7 linked regions of the Macaca fascicularis genome follow. The protein of the gene in region 1 interacts with the protein of each later gene in a biochemical or structural test. Links are inferred from orthologs where the notes say so. Each region holds a gene or a part of one and is shown in the gene's direction. Other genes may lie near its edges. The genes, in order: PCNA, RFC1, POLI, POLH, REV1, TRIM28 and DNMT1.

What was found.
Region 2: the proteins of PCNA (region 1) and RFC1 form a complex in vitro, tested with the Homo sapiens proteins (5 studies listed by BioGRID, with this or other methods). The link is inferred for Macaca fascicularis from reciprocal best matches to the Homo sapiens genes PCNA and RFC1.
Region 3: the proteins of PCNA (region 1) and POLI form a complex in vitro, tested with the Homo sapiens proteins (4 studies listed by BioGRID, with this or other methods). The link is inferred for Macaca fascicularis from reciprocal best matches to the Homo sapiens genes PCNA and POLI.
Region 4: the proteins of PCNA (region 1) and POLH form a complex in vitro, tested with the Homo sapiens proteins (7 studies listed by BioGRID). The link is inferred for Macaca fascicularis from reciprocal best matches to the Homo sapiens genes PCNA and POLH.
Region 5: the proteins of PCNA (region 1) and REV1 form a complex in vitro, tested with the Homo sapiens proteins (2 studies listed by BioGRID, with this or other methods). The link is inferred for Macaca fascicularis from reciprocal best matches to the Homo sapiens genes PCNA and REV1.
Region 6: the proteins of PCNA (region 1) and TRIM28 form a complex in vitro, tested with the Homo sapiens proteins (2 studies listed by BioGRID, with this or other methods). The link is inferred for Macaca fascicularis from reciprocal best matches to the Homo sapiens genes PCNA and TRIM28.
Region 7: the proteins of PCNA (region 1) and DNMT1 form a complex in vitro, tested with the Homo sapiens proteins (3 studies listed by BioGRID, with this or other methods). The link is inferred for Macaca fascicularis from reciprocal best matches to the Homo sapiens genes PCNA and DNMT1.

Annotation. Positions count from the first base shown.
Region 1 is NC_088384.1:82,160,759-82,165,079, forward strand, and holds the start of PCNA (proliferating cell nuclear antigen), read left to right. Parts: upstream 1-1,355; 5' UTR 1,356-1,515; coding exon 1,516-1,736; intron 1,737-2,448; coding exon 2,449-2,546; intron 2,547-2,637; coding exon 2,638-2,705; intron 2,706-3,971; coding exon 3,972-4,166; intron 4,167-4,321. UniProt on the Homo sapiens protein: Auxiliary protein of DNA polymerase delta and epsilon, is involved in the control of eukaryotic DNA replication by increasing the polymerase's processibility during elongation of the leading strand.
Region 2 is NC_088379.1:38,580,207-38,584,004, reverse strand, and holds part of RFC1 (replication factor C subunit 1), read left to right. Parts: intron 1-1,874; coding exon 1,875-2,020; intron 2,021-3,798. UniProt on the Homo sapiens protein: Subunit of the replication factor C (RFC) complex which acts during elongation of primed DNA templates by DNA polymerases delta and epsilon, and is necessary for ATP-dependent loading of proliferating cell nuclear antigen (PCNA) onto primed DNA.
Region 3 is NC_088392.1:35,312,646-35,316,443, reverse strand, and holds part of POLI (DNA polymerase iota), read left to right. Parts: intron 1-1,081; coding exon 1,082-1,212; intron 1,213-3,798. UniProt on the Homo sapiens protein: Error-prone DNA polymerase specifically involved in DNA repair. Plays an important role in translesion synthesis, where the normal high-fidelity DNA polymerases cannot proceed and DNA synthesis stalls. Favors Hoogsteen base-pairing in the active site.
Region 4 is NC_088378.1:127,933,515-127,937,312, reverse strand, and holds part of POLH (DNA polymerase eta), read left to right. Parts: intron 1-1,449; coding exon 1,450-1,667; exon of another isoform or gene 1,668-1,796; coding exon of another isoform or gene 1,797-1,830; intron 1,831-3,798. UniProt on the Homo sapiens protein: DNA polymerase specifically involved in the DNA repair by translesion synthesis (TLS). Due to low processivity on both damaged and normal DNA, cooperates with the heterotetrameric (REV3L, REV7, POLD2 and POLD3) POLZ complex for complete bypass of DNA lesions.
Region 5 is NC_088387.1:3,902,686-3,906,483, reverse strand, and holds part of REV1 (DNA repair protein REV1), read left to right. Parts: intron 1-1,677; coding exon 1,678-1,780; intron 1,781-3,325; coding exon 3,326-3,491; intron 3,492-3,718; coding exon 3,719-3,798. UniProt on the Homo sapiens protein: Deoxycytidyl transferase involved in DNA repair. Transfers a dCMP residue from dCTP to the 3'-end of a DNA primer in a template-dependent reaction.
Region 6 is NC_088393.1:66,277,559-66,282,085, forward strand, and holds the start of TRIM28 (transcription intermediary factor 1-beta), read left to right. Parts: upstream 1-1,431; 5' UTR 1,432-1,726; coding exon 1,727-2,066; intron 2,067-2,390; coding exon 2,391-2,503; intron 2,504-2,729; coding exon 2,730-2,862; intron 2,863-4,300; coding exon 4,301-4,436; intron 4,437-4,517; coding exon 4,518-4,527. UniProt on the Homo sapiens protein: Nuclear corepressor for KRAB domain-containing zinc finger proteins (KRAB-ZFPs).
Region 7 is NC_088393.1:10,680,215-10,684,001, reverse strand, and holds the end of DNMT1 (DNA (cytosine-5)-methyltransferase 1), read left to right. Parts: intron 1-154; coding exon 155-321; intron 322-592; coding exon 593-709; intron 710-2,132; coding exon 2,133-2,223; intron 2,224-2,714; coding exon 2,715-2,749; 3' UTR 2,750-3,070; downstream 3,071-3,787. UniProt on the Homo sapiens protein: Methylates CpG residues. Preferentially methylates hemimethylated DNA. Associates with DNA replication sites in S phase maintaining the methylation pattern in the newly synthesized strand, that is essential for epigenetic inheritance.

The DNA of each region.
Region 1 (4,321 bases):
TCCAGCCGGGGCAACAGAGCAAGACTCCGTCTCAAAAAAAAAAAAATTGAATTTTTGACACAGATGAGCAATGATTAAAAAATGAGATTGCTAATATCTGTAGTTAGGAAAATAAAGATAAATGAGCATGTTCATACACAGTCTTGGCTAGAATGTAAATTGCAAACTTTTAGAGATTTAGTAACATTTATCAAAAATTTAGCCGGGCATGGTGGCACATGCCTGTAATCCCAGCACTTTGGGAGGCTGAGGCGGGTGATCACCTGAGGTCGGGAGTTTGAGACCAGCCTGGCCAACATGGTGAAACCCCGTCTCTACTAAAAAAAAAAAAAAAAAAAAAAAAAAAAAAATTAGTCGGGCGCGGTGGTAGGCGCCTGTAATCCCAGCTACTTGGGAGGCTGAGGCAGGAGAATCATTTGAACCTGGGAGGCGGAGGTTGCAGTGAGCCGAGATCGCGCCACTGCACTCCAGCCTGAATGACAGAGCAGGACTCCATCTCAAAAAAAAAGAAAGAAAGAAAAGAAAAGAAAAAAAATTAAATGTGTACGCTCTTTGACTCAGCTGTATTACTTCAAGGAGTTGATAGCACCAAAATTGCCTAAGTGCTCAAAGGTGTTTGTAATTAACAGGAGATTGATAAGTTACATACATGTGATGCTATCTTTTAAAGAGGTACTGATATAAAAAAGATGTACGTGGCATAAAATTAAATGTACTTTATTAAGTACTTTTTCGAAGTGTTTACGGAATGAGTGCATTTTGAAAAAAAAAAGTGTATTCGAACTTTCAAAAAAGCTTTAAAAGCTTTATACAAGGAACGATTGAGTGATTATAAGAGCTGGCAGTGGAATGTTAAGAGGTGAGAGGGAGCTAAGTTTAACATAACTCTTTATGGTGTGACACTTAGGAGCGCATCACTTCTGTAATTGAAAAATAAAGTGCATATTTGCAGCAGCTGTACTCTTCAGGCTACAAGGAGGCTTTTCCTCCCGGTAGGCTGGATTTGCTTTTCACTTTCACTTTCGTGGCTGGAAACTTTCTACCCACGGAGCTGGAGGCTGAGGAGGCACCATAAAGCTGGGGCTTGACGAACCGGGGCCTGGGCCGGATCCCCACATATGCCCGGACTTGTTCAGTGGTCAGGTTCAGGAGTCAGGCGAAGAGGCGGGGAGACCTGCGGGACGCTGCCCCGCCCTGCACCCGCTTCCTCCAATGTATGTCCTAGGGGGCGGGCCTCGCGGGGAGCATCGGCACGATTGGCCCTAAATTCTAACCCGCCCAGGCTGTGGGCCGGGCAGCGTGGTGACGTCGCAACGCGGCGCAGGGTAAGAGCGCGCGCTGGCGGACGCGGCGGCATTAAACGGTTGCAGGCGTAGCAGACTGGTAGTTCTGTTTCTAGGTCTCAGCTTCTCGTCACGACGTTCGCCCGCTCGCTCTGAGGCTCCTGAAGCGGAAACCGGCTAGACTTTCCTCCTTCCCGCCTGCCTGTAGCCGCGTTGCTGCCACTCCGCCACCATGTTCGAGGCGCGCCTGGTCCAGGGCTCCATCCTGAAGAAGGTGTTGGAGGCCCTCAAGGACCTCATCAACGAGGCCTGCTGGGATATTAGCTCCAGCGGCGTAAATCTGCAGAGCATGGACTCGTCCCACGTCTCCTTGGTGCAGCTCACCCTGCGGTCTGAGGGCTTCGACACCTACCGCTGCGACCGCAACCTGGCTATGGGCGTGAACCTCACCAGGTGAGCCTCGCGGCGCCGAGAAACCGGCCCCGGCCCACCCCCACCTCCGGGGTTTGGCGGGATCGCTTCCGAGCCGAGCCCTCATTGGCTGGCGTGGACCATCCGCACCTTCTCATTGGCCTGCCATGCAGGGGGGTGGGGCCCAGCTGAGCGCGCGGTTCGGAAAAGCCCGCGCTGGCTGCTGCGCGAACCTGCTTTTTCGCGCCAAAGTCACAAAGCGGGTGGTGGCGGGAAAATGACTGGTTTTTCTGCAGTGCCAGGAACACTGCTCCAGAGCTTTTGCTCACTAAATCCTGTTGGCCTTGAATGGACGCTTTAGTTGTGGCTTTTTTGTTTCCGAGACGGTCTCGATGTGTTGGCCCGGGCTGGTCTCCAACTTCTGGGCTCAGGCGATCCTCCCGGCTCAGTCGCGATTGACTTTAAATGCTTTATAATGTGCCCTTGCGAGAAAAGTGTCAGCCTGTCATCCTACTTAGTGGCAGGAGATTGTTTCTATCCAGAAGGGAAACTGCTGGTGGTATTTTAGTATAAATACTGCCAGATGCATCCCAAAATGTCTGCATTAATATTCGCATCCTCCAGCAGTGCAATTACCCTCCACCAGTTCTGAGACGGCCTATGGGTGAGAGTGGTAACCCCTTCTAACTGCATTAGAAATACAGACCTTCAGTAGATGGTGTTGATTTTAAACCATGTGTCTCCTGTCTTCTAGTATGTCCAAAATACTAAAATGCGCCGGCAATGAAGATATCATTACACTAAGGGCTGAAGATAATGCGGATACCTTGGCGCTAGTATTTGAAGCACCCAGTAAGTCGTACCTTTTTACTGAGTTATGAAGCTACAGAAGATCGAAACTCTGTGCCAGTGTTTCTCAACAGCATTTGCTTTTTTTTGGTAGACCAGGAGAAAGTTTCAGACTATGAAATGAAGTTGATGGATTTGGATGTTGAACAACTTGGAATTCCAGTGAGTATCAGTTTCTGATTGTAGCGACTGCTGTACACAGGCATGATAGTTATGTCATAGAATGTTGTTTATTTTTACAGACAGGGTCTTCCTCTTTTCCCCAGGCTGGAGTGCAGTGGTGCCATATAGCTCACTGTAACCTGGGACTCCTGGGCTCAAGCAATCCACTTAGTCTCCTAAGTGGCTAGGAAGGACTACAGATCTGTCCCACCACGCCTGGCTAATTTTTTTATTTTTGTGTGTGGGTGTGGGGGCAGTCTTGCCCAGGCTGGTCTGGAACTCCTGGCCTCAATGATCCTCCTCCGTCAAGATAAGTTAATATAATTTAAGCCTACTTCATAACAGAACTTTTTCTAGAAACATATCTACTGGTGCATGTTTTAAAGAGATTTTAGTATTTGGATAGTTGTTTACCACAAGTCTAAAACTCACTGGTTAAATTTATTGTTTACTGCCAGTTGTCTATTTGCATTAATTTCCATGAACCTCTTTTAAAATTTGCTTCCTTCTAGGATGGTTGGTTTTGTTTTGTTTTGTTTTGTTTTTGAGGCGGAGTATCGCTCTGTCGCCCAGGCTGGAGTGCTGTGGCCAGATCTCAGCTCACTGCAAGCTCCGCCACCCAGGTTTACGCCATTCTCCTGCCTCAGCTTCCCGAGTAGCTGGGACTACAGGCGCCCACCACCTCGCCCGGCTAGTTTTTTTTTTTTTTTTTTTTTTTGTATTTTTTAGTAGAGACGGGGTTTCACCAGGTTAGCCAGGATGGTCTCGATCTCCTGACCTTGTGATCCGCCTGTCTCGGCCTTCCAAAGTGCTGGGATTACAGGCTTGAGCCACCGCGCCCGGCCCGATGCTTGGTTTTTATTAAGTGGGTTTGAAAGCTATCTTAGAAGAAATGTATCCAGGTTAGGTTTATAAACACCAAAGGAGAGAAGAAATGTTGGAATGTTGAAAATGCCTAATATCATATTCTCTCGTTTTCTTTTAGAAAATAGTTAGACCTGCTTGCGCCGTCATCATTTCTGTGGCATACTCTAATGTTCTCTTACTTTATCCCTGGAGGATGAGGAGGAGGAGGCGCTTGTTCCCTGGGCAGTGCATTTAATAGCCATTTATTTTTTTTGAGTGGAGTTTGTTAAGAAATTACACGAGTCAGTAATCAGAAAATCTTGATTCTGAGTTGTTTAGATGTTGCCTTTTAAGAAAGTGAGGGTGCCAAATCATTAAATTTCTAACAATTAACTTTTGGAAAATTTTTGTTCTTAATAGGAACAAGAGTACAGCTGTGTAGTAAAGATGCCTTCTGGTGAATTTGCACGTATATGCCGAGATCTCAGCCATATTGGAGATGCTGTTGTAATTTCCTGTGCAAAAGACGGCGTGAAATTTTCTGCAAGTGGAGAACTTGGAAATGGAAACATTAAATTGTCACAGACAAGTAATGTCGATAAAGAGGAGGAAGCTGTAAGTAGTTTTTAAGTAAAAAAAATAGTTTGAAGAGAATTGTAATACTGCTTATTAGGTTAATTGCTAAAATTAAAAGTAGACAGAATTGGATCCCAAGTAATTTCTGAAAATTGAGATACTGTTGAAATCTGCAACTGATTTGTAAGTGTCAT
Region 2 (3,798 bases), on another chromosome or scaffold:
TTTCTTTTTTTTTTTTTGAGACAGAGTCTCGCTCTGTTGCCCAGGCTGGAGTGCAGGGGTGCGATCTCAGTTCACTACAAGCTCCACCTCCTGGGTTCATGCCATTCTTGTGCTTCAGCCTCCTGAGGAGCTGAGACTACAGGCGCCTGCCGCAATGCTCAGCTAATTTTTTGTATTTTTGGTATCGACGGGGTTTCACCGTGTTAGCCAGGATGGTCTCGATCTCCTGACCTTGTGATCTGCCTGCCTCGACCTCCCAAAGTGCTGGGATTACAGGCATGAGCCACTGCGCTCAGCCCAATCTGGCCTTATTTATCTATATTTCAAAAAATTTTAATGTAAATGGATACATAGAAATAGGAATGTTAGATTTTGGTTGTAAGATGTGAATCAGAAGTTTTATTTGCTGCGTTTTAACTTAAGAATCCTTGTTTTTTTATTTTTGGTCACTCTTGGCTCTCCCAGGTGGTCACTGAGTAGCGGCTCCTAGAAGCAGTGCAGCTAGGGCAGGCCAGCAGCCGCATCTCTGAGGCATTCATTCAGATTTTCGTCTTCCTTGCTAAAAAAGCAGTTTTATATTGGGTACTGTATTTAGGTTGAGATCTTTAACTCAAAACAGAATTTGGTAGACATTTGTAATTAAGAGAGTTATTTGTTCTTTTTGACTTTTGTATAGTTATACAGGATTATTGGCCTGAGTAATAAAATAAGCAAGACACTTCCAGAAGGCCTAATGCTTTTCTTGATTCTACCCACACATTGCTTGAAAACAAGAAACAAAATTTCATTCTGGAGACACAGAACTTTTTATTTTTATTTTTGAGACAAGGTCTCACTCTGTCACCTAGACTGCAGTGCAGTGGTGTGATCACGGCTCACTGCAGCCCTGACCTCCTGGGCTCAAGCAATCCTCCCGCCTCAGCCCTGCAAGTAGCTGGGACTATAGGTGTGCGCCACCATGCCAGCTAATTTTTGTTATTTTTGTTGAGGCGGGGTTTCACCATGTTGGCCGGACTGGTCTTGAACTCCTGGGCGCAAGTTGTCTGCCCATCTCCCAAAGTGCTGGGGTTACTGGCATGAGCCACTGCACCTGGCCCAAAATATTTTCTTTTATATTTTATGTGTTTAGTTTTGTTTACTTAATAATTGTACCTCAAAGGCATAATGTTTTAACACAGGAAAACCTTAATGTACAAAAATACTTCCAAAAGTGTTCTGATAACAAAAAGAGAAAATCTCCAGGTCTAGCAGCAGGAGAATGATGATGATGAATTCTCTTGAGGAAGTATTTATAGCCTTTAAAACTATTTGCAAAGATTGTCTAATAGGAAAAAATGCTTGTGAGGGAATTACTAGAATAAGTAGTATACAAAATTTATGTAGACTATAATTCCAGTCTTTAAGAAAGTGAACACACTAGACATAGAAGACATCTAAGGATACATTTTTAAAAAACTTTTCTCAAGTGCCAGTTTAATGGACTCTAATCATTCGTCTTTCTATGCTTTAATCTGCCTATGCTGTCAATCATTTATGTTAAAGACCATCATATCCCTCTTAAGTAATTATTTGCTGTGACGTTGTGAGGTAACTGGTCTGTTGAGATTAGTTGCTTGAGGAGGCTGAGTTGGCGAGATGATCTCCCTGTGAGCCATAACACCTAGGATCAAGGTGTGTACCACAGTCTGTTGTTTTCTTTGGGAGAAGTTTCCCGTACCAACAGATCAGAGTTAGAGAAAGCATCTGACTGGCCCGTAGGTAGGTATTTGGGACAGTGTTGCTTTATCTTCCATAGACTGTTCGGAAGCCAATGACTGTTAAGGAAGTAACTTTGTACCAAACATAAATTCTGGACTGCAATTGATTTTTTTCAGGCCATTTATGCCAGTGTTCTTCCTGGAGAGTTGATGAGAGGGTTCATGACCCAGTTTCCCACCTTCCCGAGCTGGCTGGGGAAGCACTCGTCTACAGGCAAACACGATCGTATTGTTCAGGACCTGGCCTTGCATATGAGTCTCAGGTAGGTGGGATTACTCTGTTTCGGGTATTTTATCGATTTGATGTATTTGGCCTTTATCCAGTAACAATCATGTGAGTCAAAAGATTTGTGTTTTAGTTTTTATTTTATTGCTAACTAGATGAATGATCCTGGATAAGTTCCTTATATTTTATGGGCTGAGTTTTATCATGTATAATCAGTATAACTCTTGTTTTACCACTTAAAAGGATACTTTGGAGAATAAAATGGTAGATGTCATAATTTAAAATTTTAAAGACTACAGAAGTCTGAGATGGCACTGTTATTGTTATTATGTCTATTACTAGTGGGAATAGCTTCCCAGCTTCAGAATAATTAATTGGAAAATAATTGAACTATTTAAAGAAACAAACTGTTTTTTACCAATTTTCTCTAGTAGTAAACTGACCTAGTCATGTGGGATTGGAAATAACAGTTTAGCATGCAACAGGAGGAGGCTGCTCACATCACTGAAAACGAACGTGCTTGAAAAAGTTTAAGGAAGTTAAAAAATACTTGCATTTGGTACAATTTTGTTGAACTTTAGAAACTTGGAAAATGTGCGTACACATAAATATTATGGATTCTTCTTCTTTTTTGAGACAGGGTCACACTCTGTCACCCAGGCTGGAATGCAGTAGTGTGATCTCTGCATTATAGTGAATTCACAATTTGTAAAGTAAATTAAGACCTCCCTACTTTTTAACCCTGATCAAGTCACTGAACTTTTTTGTAGGTCTGTTTCTCTTCTTTAAAAAATGCAAGTGTGATCTTATTATTGGTTCGTAACCTTTTTGGGGGTCATAGGTGCTTTTGAGATTTTTATTCCCCCGACAATGCATAGATCCACAAAGAAAACACTTTTGGGGAATTACAGATTCCTGAGGTTAAGAACCCTTGCTTTAGGTACCCTAAATGGTATCTTTGACTTTTCTATGAGTCTACTAGAAAATGATGATACTGTAAACATTGTAGGAGAACAATTTTGGAAATGGTTTCATGATTTTTGGGGGTACTGTGGTTCAGGGACCCACACTACTTCCTTTAAGTACTAGCGTGCTTAATTATGGAAGACAATGTAGAGGAAATGGATGAAATTGAAATAGGAGAGTGTTAAAAACTCTTTGTCTAGGTAATAGTTGCGAGGGTGAGTCTAGATTTCTGATCAGGAGAAAAGCTGTGGCTTCTTGTGGTTCACACATTCAGTTCCTTGAAGGCAGGAGCAGGACCCATAGATAATTTGTAAAGAATCATTTCTTTCTGCTTCTGATGCTGGTTCTGATACCAACAGCTTTTGAGGTTGCTTGTTTAAAATATGTATACAGACTGGGCGCAGTGGCTTACGTCTGTAATCCCAGCACTTTGGGAGGCCAAGGCGGGCGGATCGCCTGTCAGGAGTTTGAGACCAGCCTGGGTAACATGGTGAAACCCTGTCTCTACTAAAAATACAAAAAAAAGTAGCTGGTTGTGGTAGCGGGCGCCTGTAATCCCAGCTACTCGGGAGGCTAAAGGCAGGAGAGCCTCCTGAACCTAGAAGGCGGAGGTTGCAGTGAGCTGAAATTGTGCCACTGCACTCCAGCCTGGGCAACAAGAGCAAGACTTTGTCTGAAAATAAATAAATAAATAAATAAATAAATAAATAAATAAATAAAAATATGTATGCATATAATTGCCTGGTTTGAAGATAGAGGCAGCTGGGTTGGAAAGATTTAGGATGGTGGCATTTGAAATATTGTTTTGTTCAGTAGCTTTCTGTCTTTAAGAAGTGACAACATTTAAGA
Region 3 (3,798 bases), on another chromosome or scaffold:
AATATGCAATATTTGCATTTTATGTCTGAGATTTGGTTTTATATGCGTTGCCATGTGTATAAAAGGGGAAATGTTATCCTTTAATGACTTTTTTTCCATTAATTAGGTTTTGTACTTCTTAAGTGAATTTGTCATATAATTAAAACCTTTGTTTCAATACCAAAACCAAGACAATTGGATGAAACTCTTTTTAAAAATGCATGTGCACATATTGTATATTAATTATATACTAAATATAGCATATGATCTTTGAAGATATTGCTCTAATAAGCTATCATATAATGGTAATAGTGATTACTCTTTAACAAGAGTAATCTCATTTTGTAAAAAAAAAAATCTTTTTTTTGGTAATCTCATAAGAAAAAAGTTTGAAAAAAGTTATTTTGTTATTTTTCACTTACTTGCTTTTGTTAGTGAATGATTCAGTTTCTTAAATTTCCTGCTGATTTTAATTTGCTGCCTTTTGGCTAGGTGTGGTGACTTACGTCTGTAATCCCAGCATTTTGGGAGGCTGAGGTGGGGGATCACCTGAGGTCAGGAGTTCGAGAGCAGCCTGGCCAACATGGCAAAACCACCTCTCTACTAAAAATACAAAAATTAGCCAGGTGTGGTCACACGTGCCTGTAGTCCAAGCTACTCAGGAGGTTGAGGCAGGAAAACTGCTTGAACCTGGGAATTGGAGGTTGCAGTGAGCTGAGATTGTGCCACTACACTCCAGCCTGGGCAACAGAGCGAGATTCCATCTTGAAAAAAAAAATTGGTTGCTTTTAGTTTTGTTTTGAATTTGTATTATAAAACAACTTGTTTTGATTATATCTTATATCTCTTCTATTTCTGACAGCACTCAATTCTGAGTGAGGCCTGAGAGCTTGACATCTAAACATTCAGAGTTTTAGTGCATAGACTTTGTGATGATTATTTGGATACTCAGGGACCTTTATTGCTTACTATTTTGTTATCTACTATATGTATAATTGTTATATTTAACAAAATCTGGCACCTTTAGATAAATGAGGTGTTATATAATTTAAAAAGGTAATACTTTTCTAATTCCTTATTTCCACTTTCTCTTTATTTTTAGAGTATGCCAAGATGGAAGGAAGCCTCATACAGTAAGATTAATAATCCGTCGATATCCCTCTGAGAAGCACTGTGGTCGTGAGAGTCGTCAGTGCCCTATTCCATCACATATAATTCAGAAGTTAGGGACAGGTATGGACTAGTTTTCCAACAGTTTCATTAGCAGGTTGAACTCTTAAACAAGCCAACTTTGAACTAGAAATATGCTCCAAAAATGGAGGGTCTTCACAGGGAATTAGCAAGCAATTAAATGCTTTTATTCTATCAGGAATTTTCACCAGAAAACTTTGTTGTTTGTTTGTTTGTTTATTTATTTATTTTTTGAGACAGGGTCTTGCTCTGCACGAAGGCTGAAGTGCAGTGGTGCTGTGATAGCTCACTGCAGCCTTCGTCTCCCCGGCTCAAACAATTCTTCTACCCCAGCCTCCCGGGTAGCTGGGACCGTAGGTGCATGCTACCAGACCTGGCTAACTTTTTTTGACATTTAGGATAGACAAGGTCTCAAACTCCTGAGCTCAAGCAATCTTTCTGCCTCAGCCTCCCACAGTGCTCGGATTATGGGCATGAACCACTGGACCTGGCCTGGTTTTTAAATAGATAAGAGTCATTTAAGAATGTTTTCCAAGTTCAAAGAGAACAAAACTGTGATAACTGATAGCATGAGTCTTTATGGGCATTTAGATTGTTTCCATTTTGAAGAACATTTAAGTGCAAGTCATTGGATGGGCATATGCATATGTTTTCCTTTATCTTGGGTAGATTTTAAGGAGTGGAATTGCTGGATCATATGGGAACATGAACTGTTTAAGAAACTGCCAACTTTTTCCAAAGTTCATGTAATAATTTACATTTTCATCAACAATATATGAAGGTTCCAGTTTTTCATATTTTTGCCAATATTTGTATTGTCAGTCTCTTCGATTATAGTTGTTCTAGCGGTATATAGTAGTGTGGTTTTTCTTTTATGGATAGTGTTTTTGGTGTTATATGTAAAAATTCTTTGCCTAACTCAGAGGTCACATATTCTGTTTTCTTTTAGAAGTTTTATAGTTTTTAAGCTTTATGTTTATGTCCATTTTGAGTTAATTTTTTATGTGTGGTATATGGTAAGGGACTTAATTCTTTGCTTTGCATGTGGGTATCCAGTTGTTCCTGCATCATTTGTTGAAGATTTTTCTTCACCCACTGAATTACCATGGCATCTTTGTCAAAAATTAATTGACCATAAATGTAAGAGTTTATTTCCTGACTTTCTTGTTTCATTGGTCTATATGTTTATCCTTACACCGATTCCACCCTATGATGGTCTCTGCTGCTCTGTTTATTTTTCTGCAATCTTTTTTTTCTGTTCTTTCTTACAAAGTAGATAATCTGTATTGAGCTGCCTTTAAGGTCTCTGATTCATCTGTATCTCATAACTGCCATTGCCCCTGTAGTGATTTGTTGGTTTTGGTTACTGTGCTTTTTAACTCTAGAATTTCTGTTTGTCTTTTGTTTTTATGTTTGGTTTTGTTTCTTTATCGAGATTCTCCTTTTTTTGTACTCATTATATTTTGCTTTAATTCTTTAAACATGGTTGTCTTTAATTCTTTGGATATATCTATAATAATGAATTTGAAGTCTTTGCTAAGTCCACCTCAAAGTCAATTTATGTTAACTGCTTTTTCCCCCAAATATGTATCACACTTTCCTGTTTCTTTGCATGTTTTGAACTATTTTATTGAAAACTAGACCTCATAGATAATGTATTGTAGCAACTGTGGATTTAAAATTTTTTCTTGTAGGGTTTTTTTTTTCTTTCCTGTACTTTTTTTTAGGTAACTTGTCTGAACGTAATCTGCAGAATCTACCTCCCCTGGGTTCTGTAGCCACTGATTTCTCTGCTCAGTGTTCTTTTTTTTTTTTTTTTTTTTTAATTCAAATTTTTATTTTAATATGGACTTCTGGGAAGTTGCCCATGTCTGTATAGTTTCATGGTTAGCCAATGTTTGGCAAAGGTTCTGCTCAAACACTACAGTCTGGAAGCTGTCTGCCTCTGCCAGTGGATAAGTGTATGGGTTGGAAAGGACTTAAAATATTTAGGCCATTTTCCCATACTGCCCAAAGTAATTTATAGATTTAGTGCTATCCCCATCAAGCTACCACTGACTTTCTTCACAGAATTGGAAAAAAATACTTTAAATTTCATATGGAACCAAAAAAGCCCACATAGCCAACACAATCCTAAGCAAAAAGAACAAAGCTGGAGGCATCACACTACCTTACTTCAAATTATACTGCAAGGCTACAGTAACCAAAACAGCATGGTGCTGGTACCAAAACAGATGTATAGACCAATGGAACAGAACAGAGGCCTCAGAAATAACCACACATCTACAACTATCTGATGATCTTTGACAAACCTGACAAAAACAAGAAATGGAGAAAGGATTCCCTATATAATAAATGGTGCTGGGAAAACTGGCTAGCCTTATGTAGAAAGCTAAAACTGGATCCCTTCCTTACACCTTACACAAAATTTAACTCAAGATGGATTAAAGACTTAAATGTTAGACCTGAAATCATAAAAACCCTAGAAGAAAACCTAGACAATACCATTCAGGACATAAGCATGGGCAAAGACCTCATTGACTAAAACACTGAAAGCAATGGCAGCAAAAGCCAAAATTGACAAATGGAATCTAATTAAACTAAAGAGCTTCTGCACAGCAAAAGAAA
Region 4 (3,798 bases), on another chromosome or scaffold:
AGTAGAAACGGGGTTTCTCCATGTTGGTCAGGCTGGTCTTGAACTCCTGACCTCAGGTGATCCACCCACCTCTGCCTTCCAAAGTGCTGGGATTACAGGTGTGAGCCGCCGTGCTTGGTCTTGCTCTTTATTTTCTTTGAGGCCTGTCTTCTTCCTGGCTCAAATAATGATTAAAAAAAAAAAAAAAAAGTCAAGTGTTTCTCTAATTTGAGAATGTTTTAGAACAATGATTATACTGGTTTTTATGGGTGTCATGGTGAAGAGGTACCAGTGTTTTCATTTTTATGGTAAATGTAAATTCAATAGGAACAAAGAACTGGACACTACAAAGCAGGTCCAAACCAAAGCAAAGAAAATATCTGTATAGTGGCCGGGTGCGGTGGCTCATGCCTGTAATCCCAGCACTTTGGGAGGCCAAGATGGGAGGATCACCTGAGGTCAGGAATTTGAGATCAGCCTGGCCAACATGGTGAAACCCCATCTCTACTAAAAATATTAAAAAATTAGCCGGGCATGGTGGCAGGCGCCTGTAATCCCAGCTACTTGGGAGGCTGAGGCAGGAGAATCGCTTGAACCCAGGAGGCAGTGGTTGCAGTGGGGCCAGATCCCGCTATTGCACTCCAGCATGGGGGACAGGAGCGAGACTTCATCTCAAAAAAAAAAGAAAAGAACAAAATATCTGTATATTGTCACAGAAAACTAGCTATACAGGCAGAAGAGCTGCTTATTAAAGTTTGAATAGAAGACATATGGTGAGATTGGTATGTATACCCTGAGGACGGTTGTCTGCCCACCCAGACATATCACCACATTCTAGGTGCTTATCTTCGGTTTGATAATTTGAATATTAGTATATCCATAAATGGTTGGTTAAGGCATGTGTGTGTATGTGGTGATGACCAGTTTACATGTTAACCAAACTCACCGTTGACTGAAGTATAAAATCCATATGCCAGTTTGTTAATTTATGGTGAGAAATATTATCCTGGGGAAGACCATATGCTCTGGTTCACTGATCAGTGCAGTGTTCCATGTAAATCACCCTTTTTTTTTTTTTTGAGACAAAATTAGAAGCAGAAGATTTCTTGGTGGATATATGAAAATAAAAAGAATAGGTGATCACAGTAATACACAAATGTGAGGCATTTCTTTATTTTTTATAGAGTTCCTTGTCATATAGACGTGTTCATAGTCTGAATGCTTTCTACCTTGGTAGTTCTGGCATTGTGCTAAAAATATTTGCCTCCGTGGTTCTTCCTTTTCCATGCTTCTATTATTGACCATCTGCCTGCCTGTTGACCCTTTCAGTTACTACTTTCTAGTCTCTGTTAAGCCACATGTCTCTTGATTATGTATATTATTGTTCATTATGGCAGGGTGGGAGTGGAGCAGACAATCTCAAGGTTGCCTCTGTTTATTGCCTGCATGAATGATCCTTACACTTCTTAGGTACCGGGAAGCCAGTGTTGAAGTGATGGAGATAATGTCGCGTTTTGCTGTGATTGAACGTGCCAGCATTGATGAGGCTTACGTAGATCTGACCAGTTCTGTACAAGAGAGACTACAAAAGCTACAAGGTCAGCCTATCTCAGCAGACTTGTTGCCAAGCACTTACATTGAAGGGTTGCCCCAAGGCCCTACAACAGCAGAAGAGACTGTTCAGAAAGGTACTTCCATAACATCATATTGCTTCTGCTTCCTGCCTTTGGAACCTGCTTTGCTTGGTCATGCTGATTCTCCATGGAATAATTGAAAGGAAACTTAAACTACAGCCTGAATGAATCACAAGGACTTACATGGAAGCATATACAAATTTTCTTATCTTTCCAGGTATATGGCTGTTGAGAAGCTGTGAAATCTGTATGAAAGTAAATTTCTCTTTTAGATGTAACTAGGGCAGGTTAGTGTTATCAGTAGAAGGCAGAGGCCTGGCGCGGTGGTTCACGCCTGTAACCCCAGCACTTTGGGAGGCTGAAGTGGGTGGATCATGAGGTCAGGAGTTCAAGACCAACCTGGCAGCATGGTGAAACCCCATCTCTACTAAAATGCAAAAATTAGCTGGGCATGGTGGTGCGTGCCTGTAATCTGCTACTCAGGAGGCTGAGGCAGGAGAATTGCTTGAACCAGGACCCAGGAGGCAGAGGTTACGGTGAGCTGAGATCTCACCACTGCACTCCAGCCTAGGCTACAGAGGGAGACTCCATCTCAAAAAACAAAAAAATCACTAGAAGGCTGACTAAGCACTTTGTCATTGGTGGCTTAATTTTTATTATTGTAACTTAGTGTCTTGGTTAACTAATATATAAGAAGGGTGAGCTTTTTAAAGGGGGACCTCAGGTATAGGGAGTTGAGTGATTCAAAATTTCTACTCACTTCATAGCACATTATTACATGGGCTGCACAAGGCCCTTCTCATTGTATTTTGCTACTTTTACCCTTCATAGTGATTTTCCCACTCCCTCTGTACCCCCCTCACCCTCTTGTACCCACTGATATACTTGATATATCTTAGATGTGTATATATCTCTTCTCTTCTCTTCTCTATTTTGAGATGGAACGTCACTCTCGCCCTGGCTGGAGTGCAGTGGCACGATCTCAGCTCACTGCAACCTCCGCCTGCACGGTTCAAGCAGTTCTCCTGCCTCAGCCTCCGGAGTATTTGGGATTATAGGCATGTACCGCCAAGCCCGGCTAATTTTTGTATTTTTCATAGAGACGGAGTTTCATCATGTTGACCAGGCAGATCTCGAACTCCTGACCTCAAATGATCCACCCGCCTCGGCCTCCCAAAGTGCTGGGATTACAGGCGTAAGCCACCGCACCCGGCCTATATCTTTATAAGTTACCCAGTATTGCTTTGTATATGTGCTTTTTAATTACAAGATGATTTTGTGCTATTAATAGATCTCATTCTTTTTCTTAATTTTCCCTCAGTAGTGACCTTAGAGATCTCTCCATGTGGCTGTATTTATTTGTAATTGCTGGCTTCGATGGCTGTTACTTGCAGCATAATCCATGATATGGACCCACCATGTTTACAGACCATTTTCCCTGGTGACAAATTCATTGATTGCTTCTAATGTCCTACTGTAACAGTTTACATTCCTCCTAGGAGTACATAAAAGTTCCTGTTTCCCCCATATTCTCAACAACTCATATCATCTAATGTTTAAAAATAGGCCGGGCGCGGTGGCTCAAGCCTGTAATCCCAGCACTTTGGGAGGCCGAGACGGGCGGATCATGAGGTCAGGAGATTGAGACCATCCTGGCTAACACGGTGAAACCCCGTCTCTACTAAAAAAATACAAAAAACTAGCCGGGCGAGGTGGCGGGCGCCTGTAGTCCCAGCTACTCAGGAGGCTGAGGCAGGAGAATGGCGTGAACCTGGGAGGCGGAGCTTGCAGTGAGCCGAGATCGTGCCACTACACTCCAGCCTGGGCGACAGAGTGAGACTCCGTCTTAAAAAAAAAAAAAAAAAAATTTGCTGGCCAGGCGCAGTGGCTCATGCCTGTAATCCCAGCACTTTGGGAGGCTGAGGCAGGTGAATCACGAGGTCAGGAGATTGAGACCATCCTGGCTAACATGGTGAAACCCCGTCTCTATTAAAAATACAAAAAAATTAGCCTGGTGTGGTGGTGGGCGCCCGTAGTCCCAGCTACTTGGGAGGCTGAGGCAGGAGAGTGGCATGAACCCAGGAGGCGGAGCTTGCAGTGAGCTGAGATCGCGCCACTGCACTCCAGCCTGGACGATAGAGCGAGACTCTGTCTCAAAAAAAAAAAATAAATAAATAAATAATTG
Region 5 (3,798 bases), on another chromosome or scaffold:
GTCACCCAGGCCTGAGGGCAGTGGCGCGATCTGATCTCACTGCAACTTCCGCCTCCTGGGTTCAAGCGATCCTCCTGTCTCAGCCTCTTGGGTAGCTGGGATTACGGGGCATGCCACCATGCCCAGCGAATTTTTGTATTTTCAGTAGACATAGGGTTTCACTATGTTGGCAAGGCTGATCTTCAACTCTTGACTTCAAATGATCCGCCCACCTCAGCTTTCCATAGTGTTCGGATTACAGGTGTGAGCCAATGTACCTGGACTGAAACCCTCGTTTTTTATGTCAGGGCCAACTACTTAATATTAAACTTCATGAAAGATTTGTGACCAATATGAAGATATGTGGTTTTATGTGTCATTTTATGTTAGACTGTATGTCATCTGTGAAACCAAAGTTTTGAGGCTTTTGACACTTTTGAAAGCTACTTATAAGGAACTATGAAGTACAGTTTCATTGAAGATTAGCTCATGCCAACCATACATGGTGCATTCATGTATATGATGATATTGCTAAGTCATGAGATGACGGCTCTTAAACAGAGAAACTCCCAAGTTACCATGAAAGCAGGAATTACAAATTACAATTAGACAACATGATTTATGAAATACATTTTTTATCAGTTGGTTATCTTGAATTATATTTACTGAAGTGTTACGATATATACATGTATCTCAAATAGTAAATAGTGGTCATTTATTTATTTAAAAACTTATTTATGTAGAGATAGGATCTTGCCCTGTTGCCCAGGCCTGGCCTTGAACAATCCTTTTGCCTTGACCTCCCAACGTTTTGGGATTACAGGTGTAAGCCACTGTGCCCAGTTTTTAGTGGTCATTTCTATAAGCAGATGAAGTAATGCGATTGTCTTCTTAAACATTTCTATGGGAAAATCAGATTCAATTTATAGTATTTTTTTTCTGGGACTATTTCTTGTTTAAAGGCCTGGAACTTCATTTGTTCATTAATCTAAAACACGAAATAACTTTCCTTTGGAAAGAGAACTGGTAGTAATTTGTGATCTGTTACTGAGTGAGTAATTCTGTTTGTAATGGGACACCCTGCTCATGCCAGAGAAGCTCAAACAGCTCTGAAGGAAATGGTGGGTGAGGTCATCACATCTTTGGGACCAAGTAATGCTGACGGATCATTTGGTCCTCTCTCAAGAGTTCTTAAAGATCTAAGAATTGTTTATTGGCTTTACTGTAAACACGAAGGAGAGTCAAGAAACAACATACCGAGAATTCATCTTTCTCTTCTGAATATTTGCTGTACCTCAGCATACATAATCTTGGAACCTAAAACTTCTCTTGGAATCAAGAACATTGTGTTTACCATTCATTTGTGCTTTAGCTGGAAAATATGTATTCATTTGTGCATGTGTTAGCTAAATTATGCCTTTTTCTAAATTTCTCAACTGATTTGTAGTTGACCCAGGTGTCCGTTATCGTTATTACCTTGAAGTTCCAGTGTTCCATAATTTTCCTTTCCCCCTTCTTTGCCAGTGTAACTAATTTGGTATTTCTGGCTTCCTGGAAGGGGGACTGTGGCATTCACTTTTATAATCTTTGTAACTGTTTACAACTTTTCTGTAACTCTTTTAAACCGTTCCATACTACTTTAGTACTAGTGAATACATATGGAATGAAGCTTTTGTTGTATAATTCTATCACTTACAGGACTGTAACTCTTGACCAGGCAACAGATAATGCAAAAATAATTGGAAAGGCGATGCTAAACATGTTTCATACAATGAAACTAAATATATCAGACATGAGAGGGGTAAGTGTATAGTAACATTGTAAATTCTGACTTTCTGTAATTTTTGTGTCATTTGAGGCTTGCTCTCAGAATGGTTATTGCTGGCATATAGGGACTTTATATGTAGGTCTTTAGCTGCTTTGTGATATAAGGAAAAGAGAAACAAAAATTCTTGACTTTCTCCATTTTGATCTTCTTCATTTTAGAATAATTTTCTCAGATTCTTACTGTGCTTTTCCAAGGTATCCCTAATTAACCAGGGGCTAATATACATGTCCTCCCTGTTCTTGTTTCCTAGAAGTAGATATGACTGAGGAGTATGAATACATAAATTTTGTGCCTTTAAGTTCCTTTTTAATCAGAAACATACTCTGCTGTCTGCCATATGATGACCTAGAAGGGAGTGAAACCACAGGCACAACAAGATGCCTTTGAAACAGGCAAGAGGCATCAAAATGTCAAAACCATAGATTTTTTGTGTGGGTTTTTTTTTTTTTTTTTTTGAGACGGAGTTTTTGCCCTGTTGCCCAGGCTGGAGTACAGTGACGCGATCTCAGCTCACTGCAACCTCCACCTCCTGGGTTCAAGCAGTTCTCCTTCCTCAGTCTCCCGAGTAGCTGTGGGTACAGGCACCCGCTACCACGCCCTTTTGTATTTTTAGAGACGAAGTTTCACCATGTTGGCCAGGCTGGTCTCAAACTCCTGACCTCAGGTGATCCGCCCGCTTCGGCCTCTCAAAGTGTTGGGATTACAGGCATGAGCCACTGTGTCTGGCCCCCATCTCTACTAAAAATACAAAAATTAGCCGGGTGTTGTGGTACATGCTGTTATAGTCCCATCTACTCGGGAGGCTGAGGCAGGAGAATCACTTGAACCCAAGAGACAGAGCTTGCATGAGCCAAGATCATGCCATTGCACTCCAGCCTGGGTGACACAATGAGGCTGTGTCTCAAAAGAGGAAAAAAAAAAAAAGAACCTTTGTAGGTTTAGTTTATTGTGTGCGTGTGTAAGTTAAGGGTTGTTCTGGCTTGATTGTGGACTTTGTTGAAGGATTAGTCACTAAGCCGGCCATAATTGTAATTTCTCCCTGAAATACTGTTACAGTGGCACTTTATAGAGGGGTCTGTGGTGTGCCTGCTGTTCACCAGTCCCACCAGTATTTTTTGAGAAGTATTTCATTTTAAAAAGATAAAAATAGTTAAGTTTCCAAGTAGCCTGTCCTCTCTTAATTTTTTTTTTATCCTAATTTAAAACCTTAGTTGACCAGAACATCAGTGAAATACAGTATTCCACTTGTTTGGATTTTCTGATTTTAAAGACGTTTTGGTATATTTTGGGAGAATTGGATACTCTGAAGTTTGAGATGAATGACCACTCACTAGCTAGTCTAGAAACTGTTTTTGTAATAACTCATATAGAATGCTGTTGTTTGAATACTTTCATTTACCTTTATTCTAGAAACAGGATCTAGGAGGTAGTGAAAAGGATTTGCTGAGGATTTTGCTTAGCTGAATTCATATTTTACTTTAGTTTTCCTGGAAGCATACTCTTTATTCTGGGTTCTAGGTTGGGATTCACGTGAATCAGTTGGTTCCAACTAATCTGAACCCTTCCACATGTCCCAGTCGCCCATCAGTTCAGTCGAGCCACTTTCCTGGTGGGTCATACTCTGTCCGTGATATCTTCCAAGTTCAGAAAGCTAAGAAATCCACAGAAGAGGAGCACAAAGAAGGTTGGTGGTCATCAGTGGGGTTCTCGTTTAGGTGCTGCTTATGTCCTTGGAAAGACGGCAGTTGGTTTTAAACTTGACACAGCTTTATGTGATTTAAAAAAATTATATTCTTCATTATGATGTATCAATAATAAAGTTTTTTTATTTGTAATGGACAGAGGAAATCAGGGATTAAAGGCCCTGCCCGATGATCTGAAGAGGCTATTTTATGTATTTTCTCTTCGTAGTATTTCGGACTGCTGTGGATCTGGAAATATCATCTGCTTCTAGAACTTGCACTTTGCCACCTTTTCCCGCACATCTGCCG
Region 6 (4,527 bases), on another chromosome or scaffold:
CTGGGGGGCTGGATGGGATTTCATAGACTCATTGCTCTGTAGCCTCTTGTGATTTATAGTTTGTGTGTGTGTTTTTGCGGCGGGCGGTAGGGGGGCCGGCGTGGTGGCTGACACCTGTAATTCCAGCTCTTTGGGAGGTCGAGGCGGGTTGATCACCTGAGGTGGGGAGTTGGAGACCAGCCTGGCCAAAGTGGTGAAAGTCAGTCTCTACTAAAAATACAAAAAATAGTCGGGCGTGTGGAGGCGGATGTCTGTAATCCCAGCTACTCAGGAGGCTGAGGCAGGATAATTGCTTGAACCCGGGAGGCAGAGGTTGCAGTGAGCCGAGATCGCGCCACTGCACTCCAGCCTGGGCAACAGAGCAAAACTCCGTCTCAAAACAAACACAAAAAGATTTCTTCTTTTGAGATGGAGTTTCGCTCTTTTCTCCCAGGCTGTAGTGCAATGGCACGATCTCGGCTCACTACAACCTTCGCCTTCCGGGTTCAAGCGATTCTCCTGCCTCAGCCTCCCGAGTAGCTGGGAGTACAGGCGCCCGCCACCACGCCCGGCTAATTTTTGTATTTTTAGTAGAGACGGGGTTTCACCATGTTGCCCAGGCTGGTCTCGAACTCCCGACCTCAGGTGATCGACCCGCCTCGACCTCCCAAAGTGCTGGGATTAAAGGCGTGAGCCGCCGCGCCCGGCCACATTTTTTTCGATCTGTTGTCTAGGCTGGCGTGCAGTGGCACAATCCCGGCTCACTGCTGCCCCGGCCTCCTGGGCTAAACGGAGCCTCCCGATTCGCCTAAGAAAATGGTGGGATTACAGGTATGAGCCACGGCGCCCGTCTGTGATCTACATTTGATTTAGGCAACTTTCTGTGTTTCTCAAGTTTAACTATAACGTGGTTAAAATTCAAAAGTCAGCCCCTGCTCTCACACAGGCGCTTCCTCCCTCCTGGGATGGAGCCTGTCCTCCCCTCTCCCGGGGCACAGCCCTTTACTCCGTCTTGGCCCCGCCTACTTCTCCATTGGCCCTGCCCCCTATCCCGAACGCTTAGTGACGCAGAGGCTGGAGACGACTCTACGCGAGCGAAAAGACGCGGGTTGAGGAAGAGTTACGGACTGCCCATGCGCTTGGGCGCACAGCGGCCCGCTTCGGTGTGGTCTGGAGGTGGAGCTGAGAGGGGAATCACACTCTATAAAGGTGCGCACACCCCACTGGCGGATTAAATTGCGGCAGTGACGTCACAGAGGGACCGCCCCGCCCCCACAAGACCCCACCGACGTGGGGTTGGCCGTGGTGGAAGGACCCGGAGTGGGCGCGTGCGTACTGGCAGCCTCTCCCGCCCCGACCGGCCTGGGCCCCGCCCCCGGGCGTGCGGCGCCCAATGCGCGTGCGCGGCGGCGTCGGCGCCAGTTATTTCTGTCCCGCCCCCCGGCCTCGGCTCTTTCTGCGAGCGGGCGCGCGGGCGAGCGGTTGTGCTTGTGCTTGTGGCGCGTGGTGAGGGTTTCGGCGGCGGCTGAGGAAGAAGCGCGGGCGGCGCCTTCGGGAGGCGAGCAGGCAGCAGTTGGCGGTGCCGCAGCAGCGTCCCGCGCGCGGCGGGCAGCGGCCCAGGAGGCGCGTGGCGGTGCTCGGCCTCGCGGCGGCGGCGGCGGCCCAGCAGTTGGCGGCGAGCGCGTCTGCGCCTGCGCGGCGGGCCCCGCGCCCCTCCTCCCCCCTGGGCGCCCCCGGCGGCGTGTGAATGGCGGCCTCGGCGGCGGCAGCCTCGGCAGCAGCGGCCTCGGCCGCCTCTGGCAGCCCGGGCCCGGGCGAGAGCTCCGCTGGCGGCGAAAAGCGCTCCACCGCTTCTTCGACCGCGGCCTCGGCCTCGGCCTCGGCCTCGGTGTCGTCGCCCGCGGGGGGCGGCGCCGAGGCGCTGGAGCTGCTGGAGCACTGCGGCGTGTGCAGAGAGCGCCTGCGACCCGAGAGGGAGCCCCGCCTGCTGCCCTGTTTGCACTCGGCCTGTAGTGCCTGCCTAGGGCCCGCGGCGCCCGCCGCCGCCAACAGCTCCGGGGACGGCGGGGCTGCGGGCGACGGCGCCGGTAAGTACGAAGTGATCGGGGCCACCCCTCCCCCTACTCTCTGCCTTTGATTCCCACTGGGTGCAGAGATGAGGATGCCACCTGGGCAAGAGGATGGGGGCCCGGACAGTGCACGGGGAGTACTTTCTGGGTCCTGCATAGGAACGTGGGTTTGAGCTGGCCGCTGAGATGAGACATCTGACTAAAGTTGGAGAAAGGGCTCGGGGAGGGGAGGGGCTGGCTCGCTGCGGGGTAATGGTCGGGGGCCCACCCAGCACGGGGATGCGGGGGGCCATAACTTGGGTGGGAACTTGTAACAGTCTCCCACATCCCTGCCTCTTGAAGTGGTGGACTGTCCCGTGTGCAAGCAACAGTGCTTCTCCAAAGACATCGTGGAGAATTATTTCATGCGTGATAGTGGCAGCAAGGCTGCCACCGACGCCCAGGATGCTAACCAGGTGCGTCCAACCGCAGCAACCACAGGGAGGTTTCTGGGGAGGGGGCATCTGCCCAGGAGGAGCTTGACACCAGCTCCCAGGCTGTTACTCGACTTTCCCAAGGCTCTGGGTGGGCTGTCTAGGCTGGGTCAAGGGACCAATCTTAATCTTGGGTTGTATTTTCTGAGGTGTAGATGTGGATCTAGCAAGTTGTCTTGCTTTCTCTGACCCTGCCTTTGTCTGGCAGTGCTGCACTAGCTGTGAGGATAATGCCCCAGCTACCAGCTACTGTGTGGAGTGCTCGGAGCCTCTGTGTGAGACCTGTGTAGAGGCGCACCAGCGGGTGAAGTACACCAAGGATCACACTGTGCGCTCTACTGGTACGTGAGGCTGAGGGGGCTGTTGCTTTCCCGTGTGTGCCCTCAGTTGCTTTTATAATGTTGGTTGCATTTGGTGGATGGGTCCTAGAGTTGTCCAGGGGGTGCCGCCCGAAGGGCCGGAGAGCAGAACTCCAAAAGCAGGAAAATTGTGGTTGTGGTGTGTAGTCTCTAGGGCTTAGGTGGGAGGGGGTGGGAAGGGGAGACGTGGAGACCTTAATGTGCTGCAGGGAGGTACAGAGGGTTTGAGGAAGCTTATCAGGGAGTTCTCAGTCCTGGTGTTGAAGGGCTCAGAATATGCAAACAGGGAAAGGCATGGTGTGAAGGGCTTACTGGGTTTGTGGTTCCCTGGCACACATCTGGTATAAGACGCTGTTAGGGAAAATGAGACTTTGTGGGTCCATGGGTTATAAGTGATGGTGATTTCTGGAAACGTTTTAGCTTTTGAGTTGGCAGAGACTTACCCGGAGTTTGGTTTGGCATTTCCAGCTTTTCGCAGACACTCGCTAGCTTTGATTTGGAAAGGAGCTTGAGAGTCTTTTGAGTGTAGCCCAGTTTTTGGGCCAAAATCCTCCCATGAGTGGCCTTTTGGTAGCCATACCGTGATTCTTCCCATCCCAGAGGCCAGCATTGGTGGAAGATAGTGGGAAAGTGGCGGCTGTGGGGCCTGAGGAGCCAGGAGGGATAGGCAGGGGCTGCAGGGTGTCCTACATTCCAGACGTCCCAAGCAAAGGTCAGGGTGCAGGAATGGTGGCACTGGGGAAGTCAGTTTCCCCAGTGAGCCCTGATGCTACGTATTTTGGATTTGGTTGGTATGTTGGACCACTATGCTTAATCGGTTTTCTAATGGGGAAGCAGGCTTTGAAGGTTATTAATGTGTTGGTCTTGGGGTGGAATTATGCTGAGCACCAAGCTCCTGGTCTAGAGGGGGTGTGACCACCATTCTGAGGGTCCTAGTTTGACATTTTATCTCTCCCAGTATGAGAACCTCTACAGGTTTTCTCTGGGCTCTTGGGTTGTAAGAGACCCTGGTGTTTTCTTGTCACGAAAGAGGGAGGAAGTTAACCATGAAAGGAGAAGAAAAGGAGTCCAGGGTGGTTTGTAGGCAGAATTCTGAATATGTCCACTTGGAGAATAAAGGGAACAGTGTGTGTGGGGGGGTAGTCCTCTTTTTCCGGAGGCTGTCCTTACCTTTACCTTTGTGTCACCTCTAGAAGCTAGAAGAAAGGGATGTGTTTCTCAGCTATGTTGGGGCAGAGGTTTCTGGGAGCAAGGAATTGGGCTTGCAGGCCTGTGTTCTTCGCTGGCCACACCCTCTACATCTTCCCAATAAATGGCCCAGTGTCACAGAATGGGCAGGAAATGAGGCCCCAACTTAGTCTGCTTCCTGAGTTGGGGGTGGTGAAGGGCAAGGTCCAGCCTTATGATTCCGACTCCCCAGGGCCAGCCAAGTCTCGGGATGGTGAACGTACCGTCTATTGCAACGTACACAAGCATGAACCCCTTGTGCTGTTTTGTGAGAGCTGTGATACTCTCACCTGCCGAGACTGCCAGCTCAATGCCCACAAGGACCACCAGTGAGTCCCAAGGCATAGTGGTTGGGTGGGTGCCACCCCTTCCCTAGCTTAGTGCTCAGGAACACATTTGTCTGCTCTCAGGTACCAGTTC
Region 7 (3,787 bases), on another chromosome or scaffold:
CCAGAGAATGAGGATTGTTGGCTGTTCCACCCCAGGGGTCCCCTTGCACAGGAGGTGCCATCTCTGCCTCCCAAAGCTCTAAGAGCCACTGTCCCCTGTCCCAAGCCTATACCCCATCCCGTAACTGCAGCCTCATCACTGTCCTCTCTTCCAGCCGGCAAAGCCTGCGACCCCGCAGCCAGGCAGTTCAACACCCTCATCCCCTGGTGCCTGCCCCACACCGGGAACCGGCACAACCACTGGGCTGGCCTCTATGGAAGGCTCGAGTGGGACGGCTTCTTCAGCACAACCGTCACCAACCCCGAGCCCATGGGCAAGCAGGTAGGTGGGGAGGGGGTGTCCAAGGGCCTGTGTCAGGCCCTGTACTTGGAGGCCCAACTGGGTGGAGGTGTGGGCTTAGCCAACTGGAGGACAGCACCCCAGGACCCCAGGCACCTGGCCTCCTCTGCCTCCTGCCCACTCCGTGTCCATGGGACAGGCTCGTAGGCCAAGGCCACGGCCGGACGCTGCCAGGTTGCCATTTCCCTCCCTGTCCCCCACGGTGACCTGGCCTGGGTGCTACTACCCTCACCCACTGCGCCTCTTGCCCCAGGGCCGCGTGCTCCACCCCGAGCAGCACCGCGTGGTGAGCGTGCGGGAGTGCGCCCGCTCCCAGGGCTTCCCCGACACCTACCGGCTCTTCGGCAACATCCTGGACAAGCACCGGCAGGTCAGTGGGGCAGCGCCCACTGGGTCTGGACAGGAAGGAGGCTTCTGTGCCTGTCATTGGGTGGGACTGGGGCCAGCACAGTCACTTCCGAGAGGACACCTGTTGGCTGCCGGGTAGCCCCAGCACTCGCAGTAGGACGATGGCCCACAGGAGGGACAGGGCTGAGACATCCGAGTCAGGTTGTATCTCTACGCTGGTTCCTTACTGTTTGTCTTTGAGTCAGAGACTGAGCCAGAAGGACAGTCCGTCACACTAAGGGAGCAGGCTAAAACCCACGGTGGCGACCGCTCACTCGCTGTAGGTTCAAATGAACTAGCACCTTAATTCCTACCTGCTTCTCAGGTGTCAGCTGACTTGACGAGTTAGTCTATGAGTTAGTCTTAGTTAAGTGTATTTTCATCAACACAGGGCACATGCATAGCTTAAAAACCAGTGTCCAGGGTTCTTGTGAAAACCATGTTTCACCCCTCCCGCCGAATCTGGTTCTCAGGAAGCAGTCCCTTTTTTTTTTTTTTTTTTTTTTTTTAAATAAGATGAAGCTTTGCTCTTTCGCCCATGCTGGAGTGAAGTGGCATGATCTCAGCTCACCACAACCTACACCCCCCTGGTTTCAAGTGATTCTCCTGCCTCAGACTCCCGAGTAGCTGGGATTACAGTTGTGTGCCAACACACCGGGCTAATTTTTGTATTTTTAGTAGAGACGGGGTTTCACCATGTTGGCCAGGCTGGTCCCGAACTCTTGACCTCAGGTGATCCGCCTGCCTCAGCCTCCCAAAGTGCTGGGATTATAGGCATGCGCCTCTGCGCCGGCCAGGGAAGCAGCCACTCTTAGCTGGGAGCGAAACGTGTCTAGGTAGCCCATTTGTCTTTTTTTTTTTTCCTGAGACAGTCTCACTCTGTCACCCAGGCTGGAGTGCAGTGACATCATCTCTGCTCACTGCAACCTCCACCTCCCGGGTTCAAGCCATTCTGCTGTCTCAGCCTCCTGAGTAGCTGGGATTACAGACATGTGCCACCATGCCCAGCTAGTTTTTGTACTTTTAGTAGACGAGGTTTCGCCATGTTGGCCAGGCTGGTCTTGAACTCCTGGCCTCAACTAATCCACCTGCCTTGGCTTCCCAAAGTGCTGGGATTACAGGCGTGAGCCACCGCACCCAGCCCCATGTGTCTTTGTCTCAAGTCTTTCTGAAGCTCTTCAAAGGCCCAGTGAACTATGGCTGTGGGGTGGGACGATGGGCCAGTTGGAGGATCCAAGGACCTTGTGCTGGAAGGGCTTTGGGCCCATGTGAGCAGGACCAGAACCCCTCCCCAAGGGGCGCAATGCCCAGGGTGTCCTCCGTCTGAGCAGGGGCGGCAGTACACCTGACCCCGGGCCTCGGGCCTGGCCATCCACATCAGGCATTGCCCTTCTCCCCTCCCGCAGGTGGGCAATGCTGTGCCGCCGCCCCTGGCCAAAGCCATTGGCTTGGAGATCAAGCTCTGTATGTTGGCCAAAGCCCGAGAGAGTGCCTCAGGTATGGTGGGGTGGGCTGGGCTTCCTTTGGGGCCTGAGCGCCCTCTGGGGGTACATGCAGGGGCAGCTGCGGGCCACCGCTCTGGACTCTGGGCCTCATGTGGGTCACCCATCTTTCTGAAGGGGCTGCTGTGAGGACTGAGTTGCACGTGTCGAGTGCTTAGAGCAGGCACGCTGCACACAGCAGGCCTTTGGTCAGGTTGGCTGCTGGGCTGGCCCTGGGGCCATTTCCCTCACTCCTGTTCAGTGAGTCTGGCTCAGCAGGCACCTGCCTCAGCTGTTCACTCGAGCCTCTGGGTCTAGAACCCCCTGGGACCTTTTGAGGAGTGTTCAGTCTCCATGAATGTTCCTTTAGCACTCTGCCGCTTACTGGGTCAGCTGTTACATCAGTACGTTAACATTTCCTGATGGTCCATGTCTGTTCCTCACCTGTCATGTAGCGTGATACCGTGCGTGTTCCCCAGAGTGACTTCTCCTTTTATTTCCCTTCAGCTAAAATAAAGGAGGAGGAAGCTGCTAAGGACTAGTTCTGCCCTCCCGTCACCCCTGTTTCTGGCACCAGGAATCCCCAACATGCACTGATGTTGTGTTTTTAACATGTCAATCTGTCCGTTCACATGTGTGGTACATGGTGTTTGTGGCCTTGGCTGTCATGAAGCTGTTGTGTGAGGTTCGCTTATCAACTAATGATTTAGTGATCAAATTGTGCAGTACTTTGTGCATTCTGGATTTTAAAAGTTTTTTATTATGCATTATATCAAATCTACCACTGTATGAGTGGAAATTAAGACTTTATGTAGTTTTTATATGTTGTAATATTTCTTCAAATAAATCTCTCCTATAAACCACCCTGGGTGGGGACTCGTGATTTGCACGGGGCTTCTGGCTGAGGCCAGACAGGAACAAGCTCCTCCACACTGAAGGCGACCCACATGGAGTTTGAAGCTAGCACATGTTTGAAGCTAGACACTCCGTGTGTCTGTTTGTTCAGAACTGAGTCACATGAGTTGATCCCCATGACATGCAAATGGAACTTGCTAGTGTAGCTTCCAGGAAAGCCTTTTAACGGAAGTCTTGGCTAGCCTTCCCCATGGCTGGTAGCCCTTCTTTGGTCTGGAGTAGGTTGTGATGCCTGGCAGTAGAGCAGCCATCCTGTGACCATGAGGCAGAGCTCTGTGCAGCGACTGGTGGAACAAGGAGAGAGAAGTCACCACTGAGCTGCCCTTGGAGCTCCGGCCTCCCTATCCCGAAGCAAAACCCCTTCTTTAGTTGGGTTTTTTTCTTTTTTCTTTTTTTTTTTTTTTTGAGACAGGGTCTTGCTCTGTTGCTCAGACTGTAGTGTAGTGGGGCAGTCTTGGTTCAGTGTAACCTCTGCCTCCTGGATTCAAGAAATTGTCTTGCCTCAGCCTCCTGAGCAGCTGGGATTGCAGCCGCCCATCACCACGCCCAGCTAATTTTTGTACTTTTAGTAGAGATGATGTTTCACCATGTTGGCCAGGCTGGTCTTGAAATCCTGATATGATCCGCCCACCTGGGCCTCCTAAAGTGCTGTGTTACAGGTGTGA